Linked DNA regions of Schizosaccharomyces pombe. The gene in region 2 interacts genetically with the main gene of each other region. Each region holds a gene or a part of one and is shown on either strand. Other genes may lie near its edges. The genes, in order: pfd5, rok1, set3 and ani1.

Evidence for each region.
Region 1: mutations in rok1 (region 2) and pfd5 together harm fitness more than expected from each alone (negative genetic interaction), as found in Schizosaccharomyces pombe (2 studies listed by BioGRID).
Region 3: mutations in rok1 (region 2) and set3 together harm fitness more than expected from each alone (negative genetic interaction), as found in Schizosaccharomyces pombe (2 studies listed by BioGRID).
Region 4: mutations in rok1 (region 2) and ani1 together harm fitness less than expected from each alone (positive genetic interaction), as found in Schizosaccharomyces pombe (2 studies listed by BioGRID).

What each region holds. Positions count from the first base shown.
Region 1 is NC_003423.3:4,025,680-4,029,676, forward strand, and holds pfd5 (prefoldin subunit 5), read left to right. Parts: upstream 1-1,726; 5' UTR 1,727-1,738; coding exon 1,739-1,925; exon of another isoform or gene 1,926-1,979; coding exon 1,980-2,089; exon of another isoform or gene 2,090-2,132; coding exon 2,133-2,238; exon of another isoform or gene 2,239-2,303; coding exon 2,304-2,365; 3' UTR 2,366-2,437; coding exon of another isoform or gene 2,438-2,626; 3' UTR 2,627-2,667; coding exon of another isoform or gene 2,668-3,411; 3' UTR 3,412-3,464; downstream 3,465-3,997. Other genes in the region: SPOM_SPBC215.01 (GTPase-activating protein), read left to right, coding at 1-1,397; COP9/signalosome complex subunit Csn1, read right to left, coding at 2,438-2,626, 2,668-3,411, 3,486-3,760, 3,820-3,880. UniProt on the Schizosaccharomyces pombe protein: Binds specifically to cytosolic chaperonin (c-CPN) and transfers target proteins to it. Binds to nascent polypeptide chain and promotes folding in an environment in which there are many competing pathways for nonnative proteins.
Region 2 is NC_003424.3:687,765-691,657, reverse strand, and holds rok1 (ATP-dependent RNA helicase Rok1), read right to left. Parts: upstream 2,306-3,893; 5' UTR 2,176-2,305; coding exon 730-2,175; 3' UTR 536-729; downstream 1-535. Other genes in the region: atp20 (F0-ATPase subunit G), read right to left, coding at 2-128; MBF transcription factor complex subunit Res2, read right to left, coding at 2,928-3,893.
Region 3 is NC_003424.3:5,039,024-5,044,699, forward strand, and holds set3 (putative histone H3 lysine methyltransferase Set3), read right to left. Parts: upstream 3,722-5,676; 5' UTR 3,459-3,721; coding exon 879-3,458; 3' UTR 523-878; downstream 1-522. Other genes in the region: etp1 (monooxygenase-ferredoxin fusion protein), read right to left, coding at 1-80; ribosome biogenesis protein rlp24, read right to left, coding at 4,774-5,208, 5,456-5,594, 5,645-5,649. UniProt on the Schizosaccharomyces pombe protein: Transcriptional regulator that acts via the formation of large multiprotein complexes that modify and/or remodel the chromatin. Required for both gene activation and repression.
Region 4 is NC_003423.3:4,062,460-4,066,460, reverse strand, and holds ani1 (FKBP-type peptidyl-prolyl cis-trans isomerase), read right to left. Parts: upstream 1,942-4,001; 5' UTR 1,905-1,941; coding exon 819-1,904; 3' UTR 501-818; downstream 1-500. Other genes in the region: sporulation specific PIL domain protein Meu14, read right to left, coding at 1-44, 86-167; deoxycytidyl transferase Rev1, read left to right, coding at 2,303-4,001. UniProt on the Schizosaccharomyces pombe protein: PPIase that acts as a histone chaperone. Histone proline isomerase that increases the rate of cis-trans isomerization at prolines on the histone H3 N-terminal tail. Proline isomerization influences H3 methylation thereby regulating gene expression.

The DNA.
Region 1 (3,997 bases), on a different chromosome or scaffold from region 2:
TAAGCAAAGACATTCAACTTAGCATCATTTCTTTGCCGTGGTTTTTGTCGCTTTTCCTTTGCACAATGCCTTTACCGTATGCGTTTAGGTTGTTAGACTTTTTCTTTCTAGAGGGTCCAAGGGTTTTGTTTCAAATTGGAATGGCTATCCTATATGACAACGAAGCTGAAATTATGAAGGCTACAGAAGACACTATGTTGATATCAATTTTAAAAAATTATTTTTCATCATTGGGAGATAAGGCTTATAAAGATGCAACAGATAAACGCGTTGCCTCTATCACGAAGTTTCAACTTTTATTGGTAACTGCTTTCAAGAAGTTTAGCCATATAACACACTCTTTAATTGAAGATGAAAGGAAAAAACATTACGAAGGAGTTATGAATTCTATTGAGTCATTTGCAAAGAGAACACAAATTAGGAGTTTACAAAATTACGGTACATTAACACGTACGGATTTAAGTAATATTTACGACCGTTATCATGAAGTATTGTCGTCCAAACATCGAGTTGGATTAGGCAGCTCTACTGATACACGGTTGGAATTTGACGAATTTTGTATATTTTTAGCAGGAGTTACTGAATGGGCGAAAGGTTTGGATGCAGCGGCTATCAATAATTCATCATCCTTTCTTCGTCATTTGTTTTTACGATTTGACAAAAGCATGACTGGATCATTATCTTTACAGGATTTGGTGTCCGGTATTGCAGAATTGAAATTTAGGGATGTAATGCGCAATATATCTTTTATATTCGAGCTTTATGACTTTAATGGAGATGGTTTTATGGATAAACCAGACGTTTTGAAGGTTTCAGAAGCTATTCTTTGGTTAACTAGGTTTATGGGTGATGAGTATCTATCCGCAGTTAGCGAATTCATACAACGCTGCTTTCATTTTGCTGATGAAGCTAGTCCTGATGGTCATTCTGATACGTTGATTGATATAAGCGACCATATGAGCAGTACTGGTTCTGAAAACCGTTCTGTTGGTGCTAATAGTGATATCAAAGTTAGTCTTCCCACTTTTAGAATGGTTGTTTTATCAATTGGTTTATTAGAGCAATTATTTTCTGGAGGACTCGCCGACTCTATCGTTTTAGCTCCAGTCCAAGAAAAATCATCAACCACCGGAGGTTTGAGAGGTTTATTGGATTCTTTGGTAATTGATACCAATAGGATTGGTAAAACATTTCGTGGGCATAAACCCGCTTCTCGTCCAAGTACCGCAAATGGTACTAGCAATCAAAATACTACTTCTGAAATTACCACATCGGAAACTACGGCGACTGAAAAAACACCTTCAAATTCTTCAGATACCGAAGATGATGTTGGTGATGTTGTAGAAAACGATAAAGATTTGCTTCAATTTGATCCATACAAAAAAAATGATGCTTAAAAAGCTATACTTAAACTTCTAATCAATGGCACTATAATGCATCCTAACTAGTATTATTTTCCCAAATTTTGTTAATCTTCATGCTCATAATTTATTAATTATTGAAAAATCTATCATCTATATTGATATATTCTATAGCGTCCCTCTGCTCAATAACATATTCGATTCTACTTTCACTGTTTGGTATAATTCTGAATAACTGTTTAAAACAAATATTGTTTCAACCAACTAACTGATTGTATATTGAAATGGATTACCATGTACCTGTAATTTAATGCAGTGCAGCGTTGGAATTTCTACCAGTTCCTTCGTATCTTGACTGTTCTAATAGAAGCGTAATAATGGCTGAAGGTAATAAAGCGGTCGATTTGACTTCTCTCAGCTTGGAGCAATTATCAGAAGTTATAAAACAGTTAGATTCTGAGCTAGAGTATCTATCGACCTCCTATGGACAACTAGGACGTGCTCAATTGAAATTTCGTGAATGCCTGGCAAACGTTAACGATGCTGTGCGGGCTGAGAACGATGGTATAGACAAACTGAAATTTTTTTTGCATATGTTTCACTAACTATTGTCAATAGGAAAGGAGGTTTTGGTACCTTTGACTTCAAGCTTGTATGTTCCTGGAAAGCTGAATTTAGGAAACAGTAAATTGTTGGTCGATATTGGGACTGGTTATTACGTTGAAAAGGTATTTTTAATATATAAGAGATTTTTAAACCTAACGACATTAGTCCGCTGGAGAAGCTACCGAATATTATAAAAGAAAATGTGAATATCTCGCCAGCAGTATCGAGAACCTCAACAATGCCATTGACGCAAAATCAGTTCAAATTAGAGGTATGAGCATTTACAGTACAGATCAATTTTTATCTTATTATCAACAATTTGCTAATTCTCTGTAGCCGTTCAAAACATTATGCAACAAAAGGCAACAGCTACAACAGCTGCAACTAAATCTTCATAAGCTAAATAATTAATGAAATTTCAAAAAAAGTAAGTAAAGGATTAACCAATTATATGATGTGCATGCTTTTTGTTAGTTCTGTGAATCTTCCGCGGTAATGTTCGTTTGAGCGATAACTGGAGCTTCGTCGTCAGTATTTTCAGTGTTCATCGCCGCCAATGTTTGTAAGTAAAGAGCCTTGCTGTAAAGCAAACTAGTTTGCGCGATATTTTTTATGTCCTCGAAGTTTTCAGGCTCTGAAGAAGGTTCGATATAAACACGCTTATAAAGTTAGACCAATATAGCAGATTTATTATACTTACCTTTTGAAGAGAGTCCACCTTGCCATTTAATTTTTTGGCTTCGATTATTTCTAATAAATTTTTCTCAATGAAGTTCTCATCAATATGAAAATCAACTGCAATTTTGCTGAACGGCAAAGCACTGTAAGGAATTAAATAGTCAAGAAGTGAACGCTCCCGAATAAGGGAAAATAAATTTGTCAATTGAGGAGCCAGATACATGTCTAAAGAATAGTCTTGAGCATTTTGCTGTAATGTATCAAGCAAAAGACTATATTTGCGATTACATTTCGCTTGCAAACAACGTCTCAGGGAAGGGTCTAAATCTGACAAAGCATTGAACTCTTCATTTCTTTCAAGCTCTTGAATCAGACGTTTATGATCCCAGCACGCTAGTGCACAAAGTGAGATATACACTGAAATGTCAGTTTTTGTAATAATACCATCAGAGGTATCAGTTTCAACTTTTAAAAAATGAGCCAGGGCCTCTTCGTAATCACCCAAGCAAAAGTTGGCCAATCCACAGTATGCATAAATAGGACTAGTTAGCTCCATGGCTGCACTAACAGTAGACTTGGCGCGAGACCCGAAGGCTAGTACATGAGAATAATTACCAATCCAAATAGAAATTCTCATTAACTCTAAGGATAAATGAGCAATTTGTCCAGCATTTGTACAATATTCGCGAACTTTGGCATATGATCTTAAAGCACTATCAAACTGGCCCACATCAGCAAAAAAAGAAGCTAAATCTAGTTGTGCCGCCTAAAGTTGTTAGAATTGTAACAAAGGATGTAATAAAAAGTCTGTGAAGCAAAAAGTTATCTTGTAGCTCATACTCTTATAGATTCTCGTATTAAGTTGTTTTTATAGGCTTTTAGTTCCCTTCTTAATTGTTCTAGATTTTGTTTCCTATGAAAAGTAACGCTTTCAACCCATTCTACGTCCAGCTGCTCGTTTTCGAAGCAATCTTGAAACTCCTCGAATAGAGACTGGTACAACTCTAGATTATATGTCTTTTCTTTCAATTCTTTAATGGCATAATGAACACAAAAACTTCTTAACGGCTTAGAATTACGGGCGACAAACAGCGCGCGAAATATTTTGGACCATACTATGAAACTGTGAATAAAAGAATGACTTGCAAAAATGCATCAATTGAAAAACTCTTACCACCATATTCATCCAGATATCTCTTTAATTCTTCCTGATTGACTAGTAGATTTAAGCTCATAATAGAAAACTCGTAACTAGTCGGAACACTGTAGGTTATAGAATTGGCCAACTGGTTATAGGCCAGTGACGAGTACCAGATGTATAAAAGCTATAATAAGATGGTGATTTTTTCAAG
Region 2 (3,893 bases):
CCCGATAATTTTTGGATTAAGGGAGTGAAACGACCCTTGGCTTGTTCAGCAACTGTTTTAGTAGAGTAGTGACTCTTCCTTAAAAAATTGTAATTAATACGAGAGATAATTCGACTTGTGGAAAACATTATACTTCGAAATAGCCTGAATTGGAAAGAGATGGGATTCGGTAAGTTAAGGTTGTGATGAAGTTTCTACTCCCATATACCAATTAAGTAACACCAATTTTTCTCCGTTCATAGGTAATTTCAATGATACACAATATAAAGTAAGTTAAAACAATATAATATTTACTGAAACACACTCGTGATTTCGAAAACGAGAAATTATAAAACAGTGTCAGCAACGTAATATAGCTTTCAAATTGTAGTTAAAATAACAATTGCAAAAACCCTGTTGGGTACTTAAAATAAAATAATCTCCTTGTACCTGTTTACGCCTACATTAATTGTACTCGTGTAGATTTTTATCAGTTTTAAAAAGCCGTACAGCACTTGCTGCATTATTGTTAAACAAAAGATGTAAAGTTAGATATGTCAGGTACCACAGTAACATAAAAGTTTCTTACCACAAATAAAAGTAAAAGAAAATAATATGATTGCTAAAAAATATAAGGCTCTATTATATCAAAGCAATAGTATTTTGGAGTGAATATGACTTTTTTAAATGAACACAAAAACTAAACTAAAACCCAAAACCCTTTATATAAATACTTTCAGTAGCAACAATCTATTGTCCACTGTCTCCAGTAGCTTCATTATGCTTTTTGATAGAGGCTTCTTTTTTTACCTTCTTAATATACTCCTTCTTACGCTGTTCCTTTTGTCTGTCGTAAGAAGCTCTAGTAGTAATCCTCTTTCTTTTAGGAGGACTCTTCTTCAACTTCTTTTTCATTTCTTTACTAGGTTTAGGAAGTGCCATAACCCAGTTTGGAACCTCGCAACCTGATGAACGCATTACACCAGCAATAAGCTTGATATATTCACCATCTTCCTTTGTAAAAAAAGTAACGGCCTGTCCTGTATTTCCTGCACGCCCAGTTCGACCGATACGATGAATATAACTATGAACACTTTGAGGAAAGTCAAAGTTGATGACCATCTTTACACCATGAAAATCGATACCACGAGCAAGAAGATCTGTTGCTATTAAAACCCAAATTTCACCCTTCCGAAATTTCGCAAGTGCTTCTTCGCGCTTGGCTTGTGGTAATTCTCCATGAATGACACCAACGTGAATTTCATCAAATAAGAGTTCTGTGTACAATGCTTTCGCTCTTTCTATATCTTGAACAAATATTACGACTCGAGGCTTTAACTCTCCATTTGAAATCATTTGACGCAAAATCACAATTTTGGAAGTATCCGAACCAACAAACAAGAGTCTCTGATCGATGCTATCCGTGGCTGCATCTTTCAAACCAACGATGATTCGAATCGGATCAACCGTTACGACTTTAGCTAACTCTTCGACGCGTGATGGAATAGTAGCGGAAAAAAGGCTTTTACAAATATTAGAGCTGGTGCATGCACTTAGAATATGATCAGTTTGTTCAATAAAGCCAGGCTCAAAAAGTCTATCAGCTTCATCCATAACAAAGAATTCTACTTTTTCAAAGGACAATCCGGTTTGTATTGCTTGTACTAATCTCATCGGGGTGCCTATGCACATGTCATACTTTTCCCGGAGCTTGGGCGCTTTTTCTTGAATTTTTTCATTAGATTTACTTAATTCAATTATCTTCAATGAAGTTCCAAAAGACAGCTTTTCTGCCTGTCTATATATTTGCTCGCACAGTTCTCTAGTCGGCGCTACGATAATCGCTCTATATCCACCCGGAACATGTAACTGAAGTTTTTGCAAAATTGGGAATAGATATGCAATAGTTTTTCCAGAACCAGTTGGTGCACATGCCAATAGGTCTCGTTTAGAACCTATCGTTGGAATGGCATATCTTTGAATTGTGGTACATTCTGTTATGTTTTGTTTTTTTAAGTTTTCACAAAGTATTCCTTCCGGAAACTCTTCAATTGGATCAACAGGATTATTACCAGTAACTTTAGCTTTTCCCTTAGTAATACCTTGTAATTTTTTTGCTTCTTTTTCTTTTATAGAAGGTTGAGGTACTTTATTCTTAAATTTGACATTAGTTGTCAAAAGTTTCAACGCATCCATTTCCTTATGCAATACTTAATTATCAAAGTTAAAATATTTTAGTAGATATTTCAACGAAGGAACAAAAATAAAAGATTGTTGAAATTTTCAATTATACATATACACGACTAAAGTAAGTATGGTAGCTGCTGGGGAAAGGCTGCACTAACGTCCTCTAGTTAAACCAGTACGTTAATTCAAATTGTGTATTCCAACAGCGTTATTAAATTTATGTATGCTAAGTAAACATAATAAATGTATTCAAAAAAACGCGATTTCTGCGTTTATAGGTTACATATTTTTATATCGTATTTACGAGAAATACTGCTATAGATTTTCTTTCAATTAAATAATTGATTATTTGTATTAATCACTCTTTTACCTATTTGAACAGGACCCTCAAATTAAAGTGAAGCTCAGTAACTTGGTATCCTTTAGATGATCATTAACGTGCGAATGCAAAAAGGATGAATCATGAATGGAAGCACGCGCTGTAAATGAGATAAATCATTTTACAATAGTAGATTGTTTTAGCTGCGCATAAATAAGTAACATAATAGTTTTGTTAGGAAGGAGCAATATATGTTTTTTCCACTTGATTCCATTCGAAAATAATATATAAAATAACTCGTGTTTTTCTATCAAAGTATGATAACGTTGATAAATGCAGTTTGACAGTGAGTGTCATGGATAAAATCATTAACTATCATAACTCGTATCATTAAATAAAGAACGTAACATTAAGACAAGATGTAAATGAAAGTTTCCAAGATTCATTTTTCTCGGGTTAATGCTTCTTCCACAGCATCGAGTATTTCCAAACTCAAATCTTCAGGGTTGATGCCACAACTCATTGCAATAAGACGACGGTAACTATTAACTGTATCATCAATTCCTAGTTCTTCATACAATTTTCTAATATACAAAGTATCTTTTTTGCGGGAAGCTTGGAGAGAAGTTAACTTATTAATTAATTGCTCATATTCATCAGAATTGGTCACGTTGTTGCAAGCCGGCTTTTTAAAATCGTTATTTAACGAAAGTCCGTCTTCCTTTTTTAAAAAGTCGGAAGGAAAACTAATAGATAATGAAGTATGTGGCTTGAGGCTTCTCTCTAAATCAAAGATTTGTCGTGCTTCCAACCATATTAGTAACCTCTTCGAAAGCTGCTGGTAAGTTTCTTGGGCCTCTCGAATCAAGTTTTCCATAGATTGACTATAAGTGGGGTTATTTTTCTGCAGAAAGGTCAATTCCTGATAAGTTCTGGAAATTTCATTAAGCGTGTCTTGCTTGAGACGATTCGCTCTAATCAAATCTTCTTCTTTTTCTCGAAGCTGAGATTCATACTCCTCTGCTAATTGAGAAAATTTCGAAGATATTGAAGGAATTGCCTTAACAAAAGCATGCGATGAGCATGATGGCGAGATAATAGCAGGGCTTATTCCGGAAAATGAAAAAGCACTATGCGAAGCATTTGAGTTTGACTGTAACAATGAATGTGGCTTTTTGTCAGCTTCCAAAAGATACTCGGAAGCTGTACGTCTTTGTCGGTTAGGAATAGAAGGATTGGCGTTATAACTTAATAAAGAGTTTACACAATCCATGGCTCCATTTCGAGCAGCAATTAATAGAGAGGTATCTCCATTTGAATCTTGTAGATTTACCAATCTCACAACATTTTCAAATGGTTGAATCGATATTAGTTTCTCTAATATGCAATCCAAATAGTATTTGGCCGC
Region 3 (5,676 bases), 4.4 Mb from region 2:
AGGCAAGAAATGTCGCAGCCTTTCCGTAAGGGCTGAAGCAGGAACTGTCTCATCAGACCTGATGAACGTGAAATGTTCATTGGTAATTGTTTACTTTTGTTTGCGTTTCGCTTAAAAAAGTAGGTTCATGGAGAGAGAGGAATGGTACCTAACCTCCCGGTTCTATACCACAATAATCTAACGGCGCACTTTCAGAGTCGCTATAAGTAGACAAGCTATATTAACGTAGGCCGTTTGATATATACAAGATCTGAGTGGATCGTCGATGAATAGTTTAATTTGATGCGACAATTCGCTGAAATCTGCACGTAGCATATTTGAATCGATGTTTATATTTATGATACTTAATACTCAAAATGTACTAGCTTCATTTGCGTATCCAAAAAGTTATTTAATCTAGTACATGTCGCATACGGAAATAGCTGACATCTTAAATAGTTAGTTCTTATAATCTTACGAACCGAAACTTCTATATGACAAACATAAATCATTTAACTGCTATAAATTAATATTATTATATTGTACAATGTTCTAAACGTGCAAATTAGGAACAGAAAAATGCAACGACTGAGGGTTCGTTGCTCTGAATCAAAAGAAACTAAAAAAAAAAAAAGGAACTAGAGTTTTCGCCCAAACACTTAGTCATTAAATATTTACAAACGAAGAAGAAAAGAATGCAGAAGCAGGTGACAGTAAAATATGCTCCGAGTACCAATCATCATAATAAAAAAATGAAATGAAAATACATATGAAGGTAAAAAGATGCAGTCATCGTACCAACTTTAGAATCGTGAAAACTTGTTCGTATACCATATCCAATAAAAAAAATCATCCACACATTTATATGGTTTCAAGATTTACAACATCTTCTAGAATTTTTATCGCGTAAATGAAGGGTTAGAAACTGTAGCAGCAGGAACGGTGTGAGGCCTAGCTGTATCGCCATGTGCTTGATTATCCTTCGACTGTTGATGCAGAATGTTTTGTTGACGTCGTTGTCGATACTCAGAAAGAGATAGCTTCTTCGGTGCTGAGGTAGGAAGAGCAGAGGCTGAAGTGTTACTAGGCTTGACTACACTTCCTTGGACCAGATTCGAATTGGGCTTGTTTTCGCTTCTTGAAGTATTTAACGCATTCGAGATATCATCACCGTTGTTGGCTTTGTGGTCCAAAATGTTTGGATTGTTCGTAGGAAATTGGTTGTTTACCAAAGCATGGCGACTCGTTATAACTGGTGCTGGAGCTGTCGGCAAAGGAGGCGTAGTTACAGGAGATTTATCAAACGAAAACCCGACAGGACTAACCGAAGGTGAATGGGATCGAGTGCCATTCTGTCTAGAAAAGTTAACGTCAGAAGACCTTTGAGTGTCGTGAACATGCGATTTATCTTTTACAGTCCTTAACGTATTAAAAAACATGGACCCACTCTTTTCTTTACTCGACGGCTCGAGTTTCAATTTTGAATCTGAATTTCTATGGAAAGAAGGATGGACCTTATGTGGTCTGTCACCTTTAGTCTTAAAGGCTTCCGGCTTCCTTTCGATAGATAGCGATCTTTTATTATAATCAGGTTTGCCATGAAAATCATTTGCAATGCTACGGCGTCTTTTAACTGACGGCAAATGATCAACAGAACCATGCTTTTTGTGGACTGTCGTAATAGTTCCTAATCCTCTTTTGCAAGGAGAAGTTTTGTCCAGCATATCTGGGCTTGTTCGAGGATGTTGTAATGGTGAGGCTGATCGCCTACTTAGTGATTCTCCAACATTAAAAGATGGAGGAGTTGTAGGGGTTATCGAGGATTCTTCAGGTTCCTTTGCTTTTTTCAATGGACCATCGGATTGTAATGCAGCATCGGGTGAAATGGGCGATAAGACGTCTGCAATGCCCACCTTAGAATCAGTGTGTAAATCAGCAATATCAGTTTTCTTGTCCCTATTAGAGGAATCTTCCTCAACAGAGGGTAGTGGAGATTGTAAATCTTTAGTTGGTTTTTTCTCCTTCACAGATGGCTGTAACTTCGGCTCCATGACTACATCGATTCCTACACTTTCTGTGGGTAATGACTTAACAGCAGGCCATTTTTGCAAAATACTAAGACGGTACTTATCTAACCAAAACTCTTTCAAGGATTTGGCATAGACCGATGTGGGGTTTGAAGGTTGCGGTAATGATTCAGCAGGGCTAGGGGTAGAAGGGGTTGAGGAAGGTGTCAGAGACAAACGGTCTTTTGCTACACTGACACGGTTTGCAGTAGAAGCGCGGCGGGCCGCTTTAATATATTTAGTAACTCTGGAAAAAACACAGTTTTTCTTATCCTGTGAGGCACATTCGTTAAACGACAGGAAGGTAGAAAGCACTTCTGAAAGTAATTCCAACTCTTCCATATTGAAGGAGGGTCGCGACATACCAGGCGCAAACTGGCGAAATGGATGGGAAATATCGAGAGTCCAATCCCCAATAATCTCTGTTTCCGGAGCTATGTGAGTAGTTGAATAGAGGATAAATCGAGGAACACTGTTAGACCCATTCATGTAAACACTTGAAACGACGGAGTTTGACTGACAACCTTTACGCGCAAACCTCGCTTTTGAACCAGCAACCCGTGAGTCAACAACAAGCTGAGAATTTGAGTCAAAAAAGACATGTGGCTTAGGAGCCCCCAAAATATTGTACTGGTTTTTGGGATCACTTTTGTATTCATTCTGCGTACAAACCCTTCCTTTCACCTCCATAATGGGTGTATTTGGAGGAATTTCGCAAGTTGACACCAAACCAAAGCGACTACAACAAAACTTTGAAGATGATATAGGTACGACTTGGCATCCATCCATTAAAACTTCGGATTCATCTAAATTCTTTAAATCCAAATTCTTAGAATACTCAAGCGCAGATGCAGAAAAGGTGTTTGATTCCAAAGGGACGTATTCCAAGTGAAACGAATACACATATTCGTTAGAAGCCTCGGTGATTGGAGCCTCTGGTGGGTTGTTAAGGTGGTTGGATCTTCGTCTGCGATTCTGAGAATGTGGAGCATGAGCATTGGGCAATGTTGCACCAGTCACACTGTTACGATAAGACCCCGAGTTCGAAGAGTTGGTAGACTGTGAAAATAAAGCGCCATTAGCGCCTGTGTTATTGCCTTGTCTCGGTGACGCAGAGTGTGTAGGACTAGCACCATTTTTGCCAAAACTAGTTCTTCTCTTGTTGTTGGAAGAACGGGATCGCGATAATATCCTAGACTGCTCTTCTTCGCGCTGTAACCTAGCTAGTTGAATTTTATGCGCCTTGTCGGCATCGATAGGACGAGGTTGGCATTGTTCACAAAAATATTTTTCAGGAACATTATTTGCATCTATGTTTACACAAACGGCGTGTTGCCATACCTCGCAACTTTCGCATTGGATGGTGAATCCGTCATCATCCTCGAATGGACAAACGCATCGTATTTTCCACATGCTAACTTAACCAAAGAGAAAACGATCAACTTATAACAAAGTAAAGAAGTATTTCATAAACGCTAATTTCTGTACAGGAGCAATTTAACCTTGGAAATTACTGCTTTCTTATGAAAGCAAAGATTTTAGCCCCAACTATACCAATGGCTATCTCGATTATCTGAACTCTCCTAAAACTAGGAATCTAGTATATAAATACTCGAAAAACCATGTAAGTTGAACAAATACTCTGTTTTCAATTTGCATACGCGATTTTGGTAGTTGATACGACGTCGCGATTATTCCGCTCTTCAACATTTCCATCCACCGAGTGTAAACACACGTCCCATAAACCACGTTTCCGCAGTCTAACGTCTCCTCGGTAAAAACAAAGAGAAGAAGATGTTGAAGAATAGTTCATTTCTCTATGAAACTTCTCATTTTACATATTTTAGAAGGTAATAAAACTGTCAAGGAGTTTTTAATGAGTCTTGCTAAGAAACCATTTTGAAAAAAAAAAATCATCTACTAAGACAATGAGTTGAGATAAACGGCAGGTGCAATGTGTCAGTAGTTAGCTAATGTATGGTGTTAGTGAGTGTGCGCAAGCAATCGAAAACGTCAATAACGGACTCGCAACTCTAAAGAATTAACAACCTTTAGCATTGGACTGTAGGGTTTAAACAGCTTTACAAGGAGAGGGATCTGTTTTCATGAGTTCCACAGTGATATGAGACTTGAATAGGCTTGTCAACTATAGAGAAATGTATATGCAAGGAAACCAGCATAAATGACAAAGTCTTTACTGTTTTATGACTTACTAAATATACCTCATGGAGAATTGAATCCAAATAATGAAGCAATGTTCTATCGTTCTAGTAGAATTTTACATTTCGAAGAGGCATTTGTGATAAACGAAACTAATAATATAAACCAATTTATTCCTAAACAACCATTTTTCAAACTGTTAGACTGTTGTATCTTGTACAAGCTCCAAACTGAAGATAGGTTCGTTTACAAGTATGTATACACGAAAATCCATTATTAACCATATTAATCTGCACGTAGCATGCAAGTCCAAAGAAGTAACCAAACGAGAAGAGAAGCCGAAACCAAATGCCAACTTTAGATATGCAAGATAAATTTTAAAAAACACGTTTTCGAAGTGTCTAAAGAGTTCGAAAGTGTAAGAAAACCACTCCCCAAAAATGTCTTCTCTTCTACTATTTTGTAAATTTGAAAGGAATAAAACAATAAAATAAAATAAAATAAAAGAACGAAGCGGGACGCAACCAACGGAAGATCGAGAGTTACATTTTTGTAGGAAGAAGAGTGTTTAGTCCATTTGCATGGCTGAAGATGAGTTTCGAGATTTCTTGTTTTTGCGTTTTTTGGCGAGGACGGGAATCTTGACAGGTTCTGCAACTTCTTCTTCCATGGTATACTCCTCGTCGGAAACAATTTGGGGTTCTTGTACCTCAGCAGTTTCAACCTCACCTTCGGGTTCGGTAAATTGAGGAACATTTTGAGCAATGAGTTTTTGAGCTTCTTGAAGCTCTTGGGCACGTTTGCCAGCCAATCTCTTTTTGTAAAACAGACGCTCTCTCTTGGCATGAACTTGGCTAACCCGTTTCATGGCATTCAAAGTAGTTGCAATGACATTACGGTCGTAACGAACAGGAACATTTCTACGAGCTGCGGTAACTGCGAGAGCTGTGTCATAAACCATTTCCTTTCCATGTGCCTTACGGTACGCTTTGGTCCAAGCAACCTAGACATTGAAGTTAGTATACATACATATAGGTGGAAGCAAAACATTTAAAAAAACAATAGAAAACTTTCTTCGTTCATGGGCATATAAAGGAAAAAGTACACCATTTAAGGTAGAATTTGAAGAAGAAAAGTATCATTTCAAAACAAGGCAACAGAAAAAAATTTTTCCTCTTTCAAAATCAATCATCTTCCTCAACCAAGTCTGTATAACGTTTTTGCATTCCTTTATTATAAAAAAAACATACCTTACGAGGATTGCGCTTCATTTTGAAGTTCTTATGGCACTTGCTGCGACAGAAACGAAAGACCTTGGAGTCATTTCTAACAAACATTATTCCATGTCCTGGGTAAACAGGACCCGAGCAGAAATAGCAAGTATGTACCCTAAATTTCCGTTAGTAATAAATACTTTGAAGGCATTTAGCTCTACAAACCTCATATTCCCCCTAAATTCTTTCCCGTCCTT
Region 4 (4,001 bases), on a different chromosome or scaffold from region 2:
GTCATCTGCATGAGATAGTTCTTTTAACTTGCTGATCGAAAATTCTATGTCATTAACTTATTTATCACACCAATTTATATCTTACTATTTTTATTTAAACCCTTCACGAGACCGTTTTCTCTTAAAGAGCCTTTTCTCTGCATTTTCAAGTTGCTTGATTTGGGCATGTTGATTGTTTACGTTTCAGAAAAATATATGCCCGCCTTAAGATTTGCCTGTAAACAGAAGCACAATTTTCAAATAAACAATATAGAAAAAAGACAAATAATAAAAATAATTCTTTAAATTCTAAAACTGCTTGTTTTTTTTTAAGTTGATTATTACGATAATTAATTTTAAGAATTTCGTAAACAAACAGCTGTTTGTAGACTTATTTAGCGATAATCAGATAATGGCTCTTTTATTATCAATATGTTTTTTTTTACTTTTAATAGAGTTTTTCGGAATGTTCTCGTTTATATTTACTCAAACTCAAAATTCCATAATTTAAACATCCTTAACTAGTATCGATCAAGGAAGCGCTATTCTCTTTTCTCTTAATGCTCATACACATACAAACAGCTCTTTCTAAAAAATTGTATATTGATTATATCTCCTTTATCACCCAACAATCCAAATCATCCAAAAGTCCTATATCCAAAGTGTTTGTAACACTTAACTAAAAAAAAATTTCCTAACTCAAATACAAAATGATACCCTGATTTTTTTTGAAACCTAAGAAAAAGATAGGCGATAAAAAGAGTTAATAGAATACATAGTTTAATCCGCGATCTTCTTAAACACGGGAGTTAAAGTATGTTCATCTTCAACATGAAAATTTAGTGAACGCGAACAAGCTTGACTTCAAAAACTAAGGTAGAATTCTTGGGAATTCCTGGAATGCTCTGGTTGCCGTAAGCCATGGGAGCAGGAATTGTAATCTTACGCTCACCGCCTTCTTGCATTCCAGCAACGCCGACGTCCCACCCGCGAATAACCTCACCACGACCAAGGATAAAAGCAAAGGGTTTACCTTTAGTGTTTTTGTCAAAAACCTTTCCATTTTCGAGCTTCCCAATATATCTCATTTCAACTTTTTTCCCATTGGTAGCAGACGCACCGCTCCCAGTTTTAACATCAGTTACAACCACGCCTCCTTTTAAAGTACGAGTCTTGGGACTAGAAGGTGCATTAGAAGAAGCTTGTTGCTTTTCTTTCTTAGCAGCGGGACCAGTAGGTCCTTGTTCAAGTTTTTCGGCAAATGCAACCTTCTTTTCCTTAACAGGGGTACCCTCAACCTTTTGCTTCTTGGTATTGTTTTTCTTAGGAGAAGCAGCCTCTTCTTGCTCGGATTCATCCTTAGTACGTTTTTTTTTAACCTGTGCCTTTTTAGCAGGAGCTGAATCCAATTCATCCTCCTCAGATGCTGAATTATCTTCCGACTCAGATTCCTCTTCACTTTCCTCATCACCGCTGACAGTCTCGACAAGATCCTCCTCAGTAGGAGACAAATCGTAATCCTCGTCAGATTCTTCCTCTTCCTCATCTTCTTCGTCAACCAAAAAGTTACCAGACAAGTGGATGGTTGCATCGCCAGATGCACTGAAGAAGACTTCGTCGCCAGGAGTAATGGTCAAATTTAAAGGCTGTTGGTATAAGGAACCAGGCTTCAAAGTACATAAAACAAATTCACGCTGGCTTTCTTCCAGAAGCTCTTGCATTTGTTCGTCAAGTTCTTCGTCATCTTCATCTTCAACGGGGATACGGGGACGAACCTTCACCAATAAAGTAGTTGGTTTATTAGACTTTTCGCCGGCATCAATGGATGCCATAGTCAAATGAATAGATGCATCTGTAGATTCCTCCACAGCGGGAACATCTTTTCCCTTTACCGAAAGACTATAAACAGCAATTGGAAGAGACATGACTTATTCTTGCCTAAGAGGTGAGGTGGTAGAGGATGTAAAAAATTTTGATACATAAACCGTTGTGTATTCCATTAAGTAAGGGTAGTGCGTATTACCGCGATTTGCAAATTATACTCAAAATTAATTAAATTTGGACGAGCGTGCATCACAACAAACGCGTAGTAATTATTTTTGATATTTCGTTGTTTTTTACTTTGAAATAGTTTGGCTTCACGAGTTTTGGGATAAGGTTAAATAATGAAAGAAAAAAGCTCTTGCAGTTAGTTTTTCTTTATAAACATTGTTTGTTTATTAATTACACTTTTTCCGCTTAAGTGGCTACATTATTATTTGTATTATTTTCCTTTCAGAAACATATTAATACTTATATTTACTGAAAGTGAGAAGCGCGCTGGATGGCTTTTAATCAAAGGAAGCGTCGACGCCCAGTAGGGATTGCAGACTTTGACGAAGCAAACGATGAGGCATACGAAAGTGTTGGGTTCCACGACTATGCAGATTATTTTTCCCGGAAACAAAGAAAGCTTCAAAATCAAAATGCCGCTCTATACAAAAGTATTGATGAAGATTCTAAATCTGATCTCTTTCATGGACTTGCAATAGCGATTAATGGATATACAAAGCCGTCTTATACCGAATTACGGCAAATGATAGTTTCAAATGGAGGTACTTTTATACAATATGTTGATGGAAAAACAAGCATATCATATTTGGTGTGTTCATTTCTCACTCCTTCCAAAGCTCGCCAATGGAAGCATCAGAAAGTGGTTAAACCAGAATGGATAGTGGATTGCATCAAACAGAAGAAAATTCTTCCGTGGATAAATTATCGTACCTTTCAAGCTTCATCGGCTCAAGCTACCCTTTCTTTTGTCGCCTCTAAACCTAGCCAACCCGAAGGTAACTTAGAAGATATTCAAACAAGCTCGCAGGAAGAAGAACATGATAATGAAAAAGATAAAACAAAAGAGAGTAAAGCAAAGGGATTTTTAGATGATTTGAGTGGATTATCAGCGTCTTCACTGCACAACTATCAATTGTTAAAAAATCCCAATGTCCGAAATTCAACCACTCAAAATCAAGATTTTCTTGAGAATTTCTTTAGCTCCTCTCGTTTACATCACTTAAGTACTTGGAAAGCTGATTTTAAAAATGAAATCCAAGCAATGACTACTGCTTCTGAACCTGTTCGTCCAATTATGAAAGATAAATCAAAAAAATCTCGTTTCCTTCTTCATGTTGATTTTGATTGCTTTTTTGCTTCCGTTTCAACACGCTTTTCTCATGAGCTACGACTGAAGCCCGTTGCTGTTGCTCATGGTATAAAAAATTCCGAAATAGCTAGTTGTAATTATGAGGCTCGGAAGTTTGGCATAAAAAATGGTATGTACGTTGGAACAGCTAAAAACCTGTGTCCTTCATTACGGGTTGTTGATTATGATTTTGGAGCATACGAATCTGTTTCTAGAGAATTTTACACTATCCTTGTTAATACACTTCACGACTATATTAAGGTTATAAGTATAGACGAGGCTCTTCTAGATATAACTTCTAGTGTTTCATCTTTTCAAGATTGCTTTGAGATTGCCGAGTCTATCCGCTCGCAGGTTCGCGAGAAAACCAATTGCGAAGTTAGCGTTGGTATTGGCCCAAATGTTCTCTTAGCAAGACTTGCACTTAGGAAGGCGAAGCCTCACAACGTTTATTCTTTGTCAATAGAAAATGTTTTTGATGTATTGAGTCCTTTGTCTGTTCAAGATTTACCAGGGGTGGGCTCTTCACAAGCGCAGAAACTTTTTAATTTGTACGGTGTGCGTACTATTGGGCAGCTGCAAAGAATTGAAAAATTCAATCTTCAAGAGACTTTTGGGGTAAATTACGGTCTGCATTTATACAATATTTCCAGAGGAATTGATACCGATATAATCAATAATGAAACCCCACGGAGGTCCATATCCGTAGATGTTAATTGGGGTGTTCGTTTCGTTTTTCAAGAGGATGGGATAGATTTCTTAAAACGGTTGCTTCATGAGTTGCTTTCCAGAATGGGTAAATGCCAAGTGCTTTTGCATCAAATTCAGCTTCGGATTTTGA